2 linked regions of the Bombyx mori genome follow. The protein of the gene in region 2 interacts with the protein of the main gene of each other region in a pairwise test. Links are inferred from orthologs where the notes say so. Each region holds a gene or a part of one and is shown on either strand. Other genes may lie near its edges.

Region 1 (4,279 bases), on a different chromosome or scaffold from region 2:
AACTCATGGTTTTGATAAATAAAACATAAAATGACAATTTACTCAATAAAATTAGTGTTGAATAATTACACATTGACTACCTGGTAAAGCTAATGTCTGAAGACCTTGCACTAAGGCTGCGACCAGACTACGTTTATGAGCAAGCAAAGCAGCAGTCCTTTCAGCTGCTGCAGCTGTTTCAGCTCTGAGTTTCGATGTAGCGCCGCTTACCTCTTCTGCGTGACGATGTAAGATTGCATTCTGATGTAAGTACAAAATATGTATAAAATTTTTAATCATTATCTATATAAGCACCATTTTAGTGCTTGGTAAGATTGAAGTATAAATAACAATAAATATTGTGGTGTACATATTTTTTGGTAGGACAGGCCATCTGTCAACAAATAGGAAGCCGAGAGACATAGAAGTGAATAACAACACCCATCTTGAAAATTGTAAATATGGCTGAAGTTCTATCTTTCAAACAAGAGTCCATGACCACTAGCTCCTACCAAATAGGTAAGATGGTGGTACCAGTGAGTGCCAGTCAGTCATCATAATATGCTATTAAATACTCATAGAAAGCTGCTGGACCATTCATGCTCCATTTACCTGCTGTTCGTAATCTGAATTTGCCTTTCTTAATTGTCTTAACTCAGATTCTCTCAGTTTGTTATGTTGCAGAAATTGATCTGTGAAGATTGGTATTTCCATTTCACCCTGTAACAATAAATTTACTACTTTACAAAACTTTGTTTACCTTCCAATTTGAATTTAAGTAGGTATTCAACAATTCTTTATGCTTTTTATGCTGACAATATAAACTGCAGAACTTACAGATGTAGGATTAATACATGGTCTTGGTCTTGGTGGGGTAGTCTGACGTGAAGACATGTTTGTTGTAGAAGCACTATACACTGTACTTTCTCCTGGTTGGGTACCCCCTATAAGAGTAAGTGTAAGTATTGTTAGTTTTTTGTCAAAGCACTTTTTTCATCAAATAAGTTGCTGGATTAATTTTATATATATATTACGTAATAGTGAAATTTTAGTGTACTTCAATATTCAACATTTTTTAACATTGTATTACAACATCTAGTTTTGCAAGCATGTAATGCCTATCTGTATGAATGCTTAAAGAGCTCCCCTTAAACTGAATTTAATATTAATGTTACTATGAATTAATCTCATGTAAGGTACAAATGGCACTATTTTCTTTATAAAAAGAGCAAATGAGCTCACGGCTCATGTAGGTTTATATGGCTAGAGACGTAAACATGGATGTCTAAATGCTACTACAATTGTATTGTATAACAGCTGTCCTAACCATCAAACTAATGTGCTAGATTCTTCATGCAAGATCGTAATACCAGACGTATGCTTGGTCTTGTTTTTGAGAAATTGTTGCGCCTAATATTTTTTATGGATTATATGGTTCTCTATTGATTTTTTTTTTTATTGCTTATATATGTGGACGAGCTCACAGCCCACCTGGTGTTAAGTGGTTACTGGAGCCCATAAACATCTACAACGCACATGCGCCACACACCTTGAGATATAGTTTTAAGGTCTCAGTATAGTCACAACGGCTGCCCCACCCTTCAAACCGAAACGTATTACTGCTTCACGGCAGATATCGGCAGGGCGGTGGTACCTACCCGTGCGGACTCACAAGAGGTTCTACCACCAGTAATTACGCAAATTATAATTTTGCGGGTTTGATTTTTATTGCACGATGTTATTCCTTCACCGTGGAAGTCGATCGTGAACATTTGTTAAGTACGTATTTCATTAGAAAAATTGGTACCCGCCTGCGGGATTCGAACACCGGTGCATCACTCGATACAAATGCACCATTCGTCTTAACCTTTAGGCCACGACGACTTCGTAAAAAGAAAAGAAAAAAGAAAATTTTAAAAGAATATTGGATTTACCAGAAACTGAAGCGTCTACTTGAGGAACCTGCCGTAACTTCTTTGATAAGCTACCATCTTGCAGATCAGATTGTTGTTTTGTGAACTCTTTATAAGCATTTGTTCTTTTGTATTCCGCACATTCTTTAACATATCTGTTAATTTAAAATACACTATTCGTATTTAAAATAATTTCAAATATATATTATTTACATCTCATGAAATTTAAATTAGGTACTTGATTAATGATTAACCTTTCTTTATCCTGATCTGCAGCATCTAAGTATTGTTGTTTTTCTTCAGCTGGAAGTCTACTCCACTCGCTAGCTAACTGTCTGGTCAATTCTGCAAAACCCAAATCTGGCTGTTGTGCTCGCAACTGATCTCTTCTCTCATTTAAAAATCTTACATAACCTTAAATATGAATATTCGTTTGTCTTAAAATTGTAAATAAAAGATTTTAATAAGGAATTAAGTAAAAATAAGACATCTAAAATAAGAGCTAAACCTGTGAGAGGTTGACGGGGTGCAGTTGTATCGCGAGCTGCTTTGGGTTTTCTTTTTTTGGGCTTTTTAGGTGATGTTTTTGGAACTTCTTTTAAAGCACCCGCCGTGTCAATCGCAACGGGCGTTTCAGCAAGCACATGAACATTAGATACTATAGGCACTTGAGTCAAGCTTGAGTCAGTGGTCACAGGTTTCGGGTCTTTTTCAATATTAATAGGCTGCACTTCTGAATTCACTGTATTTACAACGTCCGATTTTAAAGAATCGCTTTCCATTGTTGTTTTACTTCAATACATCCAACACAATACAATAACTATACTTAAACACTTTAATATCGGATTTTGGTTTAAACTAAGTAGAAAATAGGTATAGATAGGTAAACAAAGCAAAACCCTCAGCACCATAGATTAAACACTTAACTTTTTTAAGGGATTTTACGATCTGGTAACTAAGACCTTTAGGTCAAGTCTTATTTGAATTTATCCCCTGTTTTCCAATCACAGCACAAGAGCGCATTATGCGGCATAATGCCCAACTAAGCTTCAGCATAGGTAATTTCCATATATAATTTGATTAATATTTTACCTGATTTTTTTATTTTTAACTGATTTTCTTTTAATATTAATAATTAATTGATATGAGTCAAATGTAAGAGAGAGATAGAGAGACAGAGAAGTGAATATATCCCATAGACCTATATAGTAGGGACACGACATATTGTTCTATACGTACAATTGCTTATATAAATAGCACCCATTTTGAAGGCACATACATAAACATATATCTATCTCGTTCTTACTCAGCACTTTAACTCGCAGGAAAACAATATAACAGTATTTCAGTGCGTACATAAAATGAAACATGAATATACGTAAATATCTCCGTCTCCGTCTAATGAGGCCGAAAATCCGCCATGTTTAGCGCGCCAAATGTCATTGTCACGTCAGTTCGGCCGTCTGTTTTGGGTTGTACATTATTTATTGACTTTGATATCGATTTAATATGATTGATTATATAAAATTTCATAATTTATCATGCTTAAAACATACAAAAATAATAATTAAAACGTATTTTATAGGATCTCAAGAAAGTCGATGCCCTAAAACTATTATCTATATGTATTTAAATTCATTATGGAGCCCTCATCCGAAAAATCCATTTTTCGGTCGGAATCTATTGATCATGACACCATAGATTATACACTTAATAATCTATTCATCATGACACTAATCATAAATACCACTTTAAAATATGTCATCAAAACATATTTAGACATTCTGTTTAGATATTTCGGGAAAAAGGTTACCGACAAAATCTCTTCGGAACTATTTAACTAAAATAGTTTTATTCCGCAGTGAGTAAAACACTATTGTAAATTTGTTAAATATTTAATAATTAAGTGATTTTAGAGAGGAAGTCACAAGGAATGACGTTTGTAATTAATGAATAAATGTTCTGTAGGTGTTTTTTTTTTCACGCGGTCCCTTGATAAGTTTAAAATTTGAATCACTCTCAAGCGAAAGTGATTCAAATGGTGCGGCGCACCTTCCTTGGGGTGCATTGCGGTAGTATGTTACGGACTTTAGAGTCAGCAAAACAATTAAAATAGATTGTTATAGTCTAAGAAAAACACATACTCAAAATACGATAACATTTAGCATGCTAGAAATGGGCTGATGGCTTGAACTACGCCATATCTTTATGTTTTGCGACAAACGACAACTTTATAAAATCAGTGTAGCAACTTTTAAAAATCATCATATCGTTTACTTGGCAAATTCGAAGGACGAACTTGTCTTAGATTTCACCCATCTAAATCATATCATATTTGCACATAACAATATACCTACTTACTTCCCATTAAAGTATAAATTCTACAA
Region 2 (4,509 bases):
AATACATATGCGTATCTTGATGATATTGAACTATTTCTGGCCGTACTCTTGAAGAACACGATTATAACTTAGAAAGTTTTATGAATGCCGCAAAGAAATACGGTTTAACACTGAGTATACAAAAATGCAAATTTTATCAAAAGTCAATTAATATTCTAGGCTATAATATTCAAAACCACATAATTAAACCTGACAATGAGCGACTCAAGCCACTGATTAATTTACCTCCACCAAGCGATTTACCGATCTTAAGAAGGACACTCGGCATGTTCGCACATTATTATAAGTGGATTCCAAAATTTTCTGAACGGATCCACTCACTTGCTAATACGACGATTTTTCCACTCACAAGCGAGCAAATTAAATGTTTCGAAGGCTTGAAAAATGATATCGCAAAGTCTTCTATACATGCAATTGATGAAAATATACCTTTTACAGTGGAAACTGACGCTTCCGATCATTCCATTGCAGCAGTACTTACACAAAATTCTAGACCAGTGGCAAAACAACAGTGTCGAATCGTCATCTAGCACCATTGGGTTCAGAAAGGGTAGATCTGTGAATAGATAATGAACACACTATTGATTATCATAACGTCGCAGAACCACTTCCGGAAACAGAAGACCAAAACTTGGAGATTCCTTCATCTAATGAAACGGGACCTGTGGTACATGATAATAGCAGAGAGCTAGAGACAGAATTACCATCATCATCACCGCCGGAACCAACACTTATGATTTACTCCATCTTGCTAAGTCTAATTTAAGTAAGTCATGGCAAGCCTACTGGACAGAGTCCAGTAAGACGAAGGGAGGCTTATATGCTTCAATCCAACCCACCATTCCTACAAAACCATGGTTTTTTAAATTCAAAAAGATTTCCAAACCTGTTATATCTGTGCTCTGTAGAGTTCGTTTAGGTCATTGCTGTTCTCCGGTATTTCTACATAAAATTAGAATACGTGACAATTCGTTGTGTGAATGTGGTTTGGACGACGGCAGTATAGATCACAATTTCCTCTATTGTCGCTTGAACAACTCATTCATATGGGACCAAGCTATTAGCGAACTGAAAATTCAACGGCCGGTAAATGTCCACCACCTCCTCTCACTATTCCCAGACCCCCGTAAATGCTTTTATTAAGTTTATAACTACTAACTCTATAAAATTATAATTATTTGTAGTGCATTATTCTCTGTACATAATCTTTATTATAATATGTAAGTTTATAGTAACATTAATTTTGTGTTAGTCCCAGGCACCATTATTATTTCCAAAATTTGATACTTTTCATAATATAAAGTGTGTATAAATAGCTCGACAATATTCCATGTGTAGCCATAACACGACACTGGCAGAAATTGCTGAAAATATCGGCAGATTGCATTATAAAAAAAAAAAAAATATCTATGGTCAACACTCAACACAAACACATTTATTTCAGTTTCACAACAACGACAAACGTTCACAATCCGCAAAACAGTTTCGATTCCATTGAATTTACAAGTTATTACGTGTAACTAGTTATAATTGGAAGTTTTTCTAATTTGAATACCCTTTATATGAAATTCGTTTGAACGAATTTTTTAAAAAACAAAGTTTTCTTAATGGACAAATAGTATTTTTGAGTTGAGTTTCATTCTTAGTTGTGCTCCAAGAGTTTACGAAGATTTGCGATTATAAATAACTTTTTAAATGGCCGTCTCTTTGTGTGTACTACGTATTGAAATAGACGAAGAACTGTCCGAAATGGCAGACGGTGTTAACAATGGTGAGTGGCAATGATAAATAATTTATCACGTATTGCATAGATATGCTTTTGATTTTTACTTACATCTAAAAAAAAATGTTATTATTTCAAATATTCATATGATCATCAGAGGCCTCTAAGGACCAGAAAAGAAAGGACCGAGGAGCAAGGGAATCCAAAACCATAACAGTTGAAACATATGCTAGTGTTCTTAGTGGACCCAACACTGACCCAGGCATACTACCTACAAGTTCCCGCCGCTCACCTCCAGAGTCCAGCAGTATATCTGAAGACGATAACACTATTAGTTTTTTCTGTGGAAATCCACTAGTTGAAATTACTAAGGGCATATTACACTTGTACAAGGAAAAGTGAGTGATTTGTATGATTTAAAACACAGTAAGACCCTGCTTCATGCAGGGCATACATTATGTCAAGTTGTCATGTTAGAGCATAATATAGAACCCTATTAAATAGGGTTATCGCATCATCTCAAAAATTGGATTAAGGGAAGATTGGTAGAAAATTGTACAGGTACTTTACCATTAAATTTTAAGTTTTTTAATACACTATTATTAGCTTCAGACGTGTGTATGTATGTTTGTAACGGAATCTTTGAACATGATTTTGACCCTCTTCAAAACATCAGATTAACTTGAAATTTGGTGTACTTATTAAAGACCGATGACAATTCAATATTTAAAAAAAAATTGAAAAAATTGAAATTCAACTAAAAAATGAAAAAAAAATACTAGTTTAACAAAACTAACAAAATATGCTTTTATAGAAAATCCAACTAAAAAATATAAAATAAATTTTAATAAATTCCAATTAAAAATAGTGTAAGAAAAAATGATTTTATTGTAAAAAAGTGTGGGGTGCTTTTCAGGATATTATCAAACTAACCCTTCTACTCATATCTGTTCATAAAATATTTATAACTACTTATACCATGCACCCTTATATCAAGAACAGTAAGTAGCATTCACAATGAAATTTTCACTGTTTATACAATTGAACAGGAACAAAAGACTTCAGTATTCCGTTAAAGTCAAATAAATATTTACAGATCAAATTGATAACTAACAGTCACATACCTGTACTGTAACAAGTAAGCTCATGAAGGTGATATTGTGTAAACATGAGGGCCGTTGACTTGTGGAAACCATTTCCAACACAATCACAGTTGATTGTATCTCATGAAACTCATGACATGGTCTAGGATTTCAATAGATTCATAGTAGGTTCGTTTCCACAAAATTTGTTAACAAAAAAATTGTCTCATAATTACGTTTATATAATTTAACAGTGAAATGAAAGAAGCAGAAGAAGCCAAGACACTTTGCCTACTCGCAGTTCCTGGTGCTTTAGGTGCACCCGACCTGCTTGCATTTGCTGCAGCTTGTCAACAGGATATTGCACATGTGAGGGTTCTCAGAGATGGTTCACCTGATCATTACATGGCACTATTAACGTAAGTTTATTTAAGGAGCCAAAAATATTAGTGTTACAGCTGTAATCGAGTATGGTAATACACAAATTTGTTTATGAGTTTTTTGTCATTGTTATACTAACAATAATCATTTCTTTTTTAGATTTCGCACTAGTCAAGCAGCTCGAGAATTCCATGGGGCTTTTGATGGGGTTCCATATAGTAGTTTGGAACCAAATGCACTGTGTCATACAGCCTGGGTGTCAAGGGTTGAATGGGCAAAGGATGGTTCCCCACCACCATCACACACTGAGCTCCCTACTTGTCCTGTTTGTTTGGGTAAATATTCACAGTTTTAATGATTTATATTTTATACAATCTAGAGTTCTCAGTATTATCAGTATTAATGGTGGTAAGAGTGTTGCAAGCCCATAGTGAAGTGTCATGCTTTCTTGAGGGCTGGAAGACTGTTATCATACAATACAATTGCATTCAAGTCTGAGAATTGTTATTTTACACATCACATTAAAATAAATGTTCATTGCCAACAAGTAAGTAAATGAAACCAATATATTGGGTCTGTTTGGCATGAACTGGGCTGACGCTGACCATATCGATTACATGATTGGATCTTCCCGTGTCGCGTCACATGCCGTCAGTTGTGATTGGTTCCAAATCAAAGCAAATTAGCGATAAAAACTCGACAACGTACCTGTCTTTTTAAAAAAGGGTACGAAATGATAACTTTTTGGAAGTCGGTTAAAAATAGAGTTATTATTTTATAATATAATATGAGCGAAATCCTGGGCAAAACTATTATAAAACATTAATACGATTTTAAGTTTCAAATTTAACAATATTAATTTAATTTCAAAAAAGGAGAGTGAGAGATCCATTTAACTTTACCCTAAGTGTACAATGTGCAGACGCCCCTACTCTTCTGGAGAACACGTCATTTCGAATCCTCCCGATCCACTAACGGTGCTTTTAGGTCCGGTCATCGTTCTCGTCGAACCCGTCGCTTGCGACGAAGAGCTCGACGAGTAAATTAACCCTCAGACACAGCCCACTTAGTTTCTCGCCGGATCTTCTCAGTGAGTCGCGTTTCCGATCCAATGGTATATTCTGCGAAGCACGGCTCTTGCTAGGGTTCGTGTTAGCAACGTCGTCAGGTTTGAGCCCCGTGAGCTCACCTACTAGTTAAGGTTACGGTGATATAGCCTATCAAGGCTCTCAGCTTAAGTAAGAAAAAAAAATTGTGGAGAAGTCAGGCAGCGTGCGGATGACTATGTGTTGTGTCCCCCAGAGCGCATGGACGAGAGCGTGG

The links.
Region 1: the proteins of BRCA1-associated protein (region 2) and high mobility group protein 20A interact in a two-hybrid assay, tested with the Homo sapiens proteins (2 studies listed by BioGRID and IntAct). The link is inferred for Bombyx mori from reciprocal best matches to the Homo sapiens genes BRAP and HMG20A.

Annotation. Positions count from the first base shown.
Region 1 is NC_085114.1:10,481,896-10,486,174, forward strand, and holds the start of high mobility group protein 20A, read right to left. Parts: upstream 2,824-4,279; 5' UTR 2,675-2,823; coding exon 2,401-2,674; intron 2,307-2,400; coding exon 2,147-2,306; intron 2,048-2,146; coding exon 1,914-2,047; intron 924-1,913; coding exon 817-923; intron 700-816; coding exon 592-699; intron 241-591; coding exon 81-240; intron 1-80. UniProt on the Homo sapiens protein: Plays a role in neuronal differentiation as chromatin-associated protein. Acts as inhibitor of HMG20B. Overcomes the repressive effects of the neuronal silencer REST and induces the activation of neuronal-specific genes.
Region 2 is NC_085122.1:14,176,620-14,181,128, forward strand, and holds the start of BRCA1-associated protein, read left to right. Parts: upstream 1-1,388; 5' UTR 1,389-1,695; coding exon 1,696-1,771; intron 1,772-1,880; coding exon 1,881-2,121; intron 2,122-3,059; coding exon 3,060-3,224; intron 3,225-3,345; coding exon 3,346-3,521; intron 3,522-4,488; coding exon 4,489-4,509. UniProt on the Homo sapiens protein: Negatively regulates MAP kinase activation by limiting the formation of Raf/MEK complexes probably by inactivation of the KSR1 scaffold protein.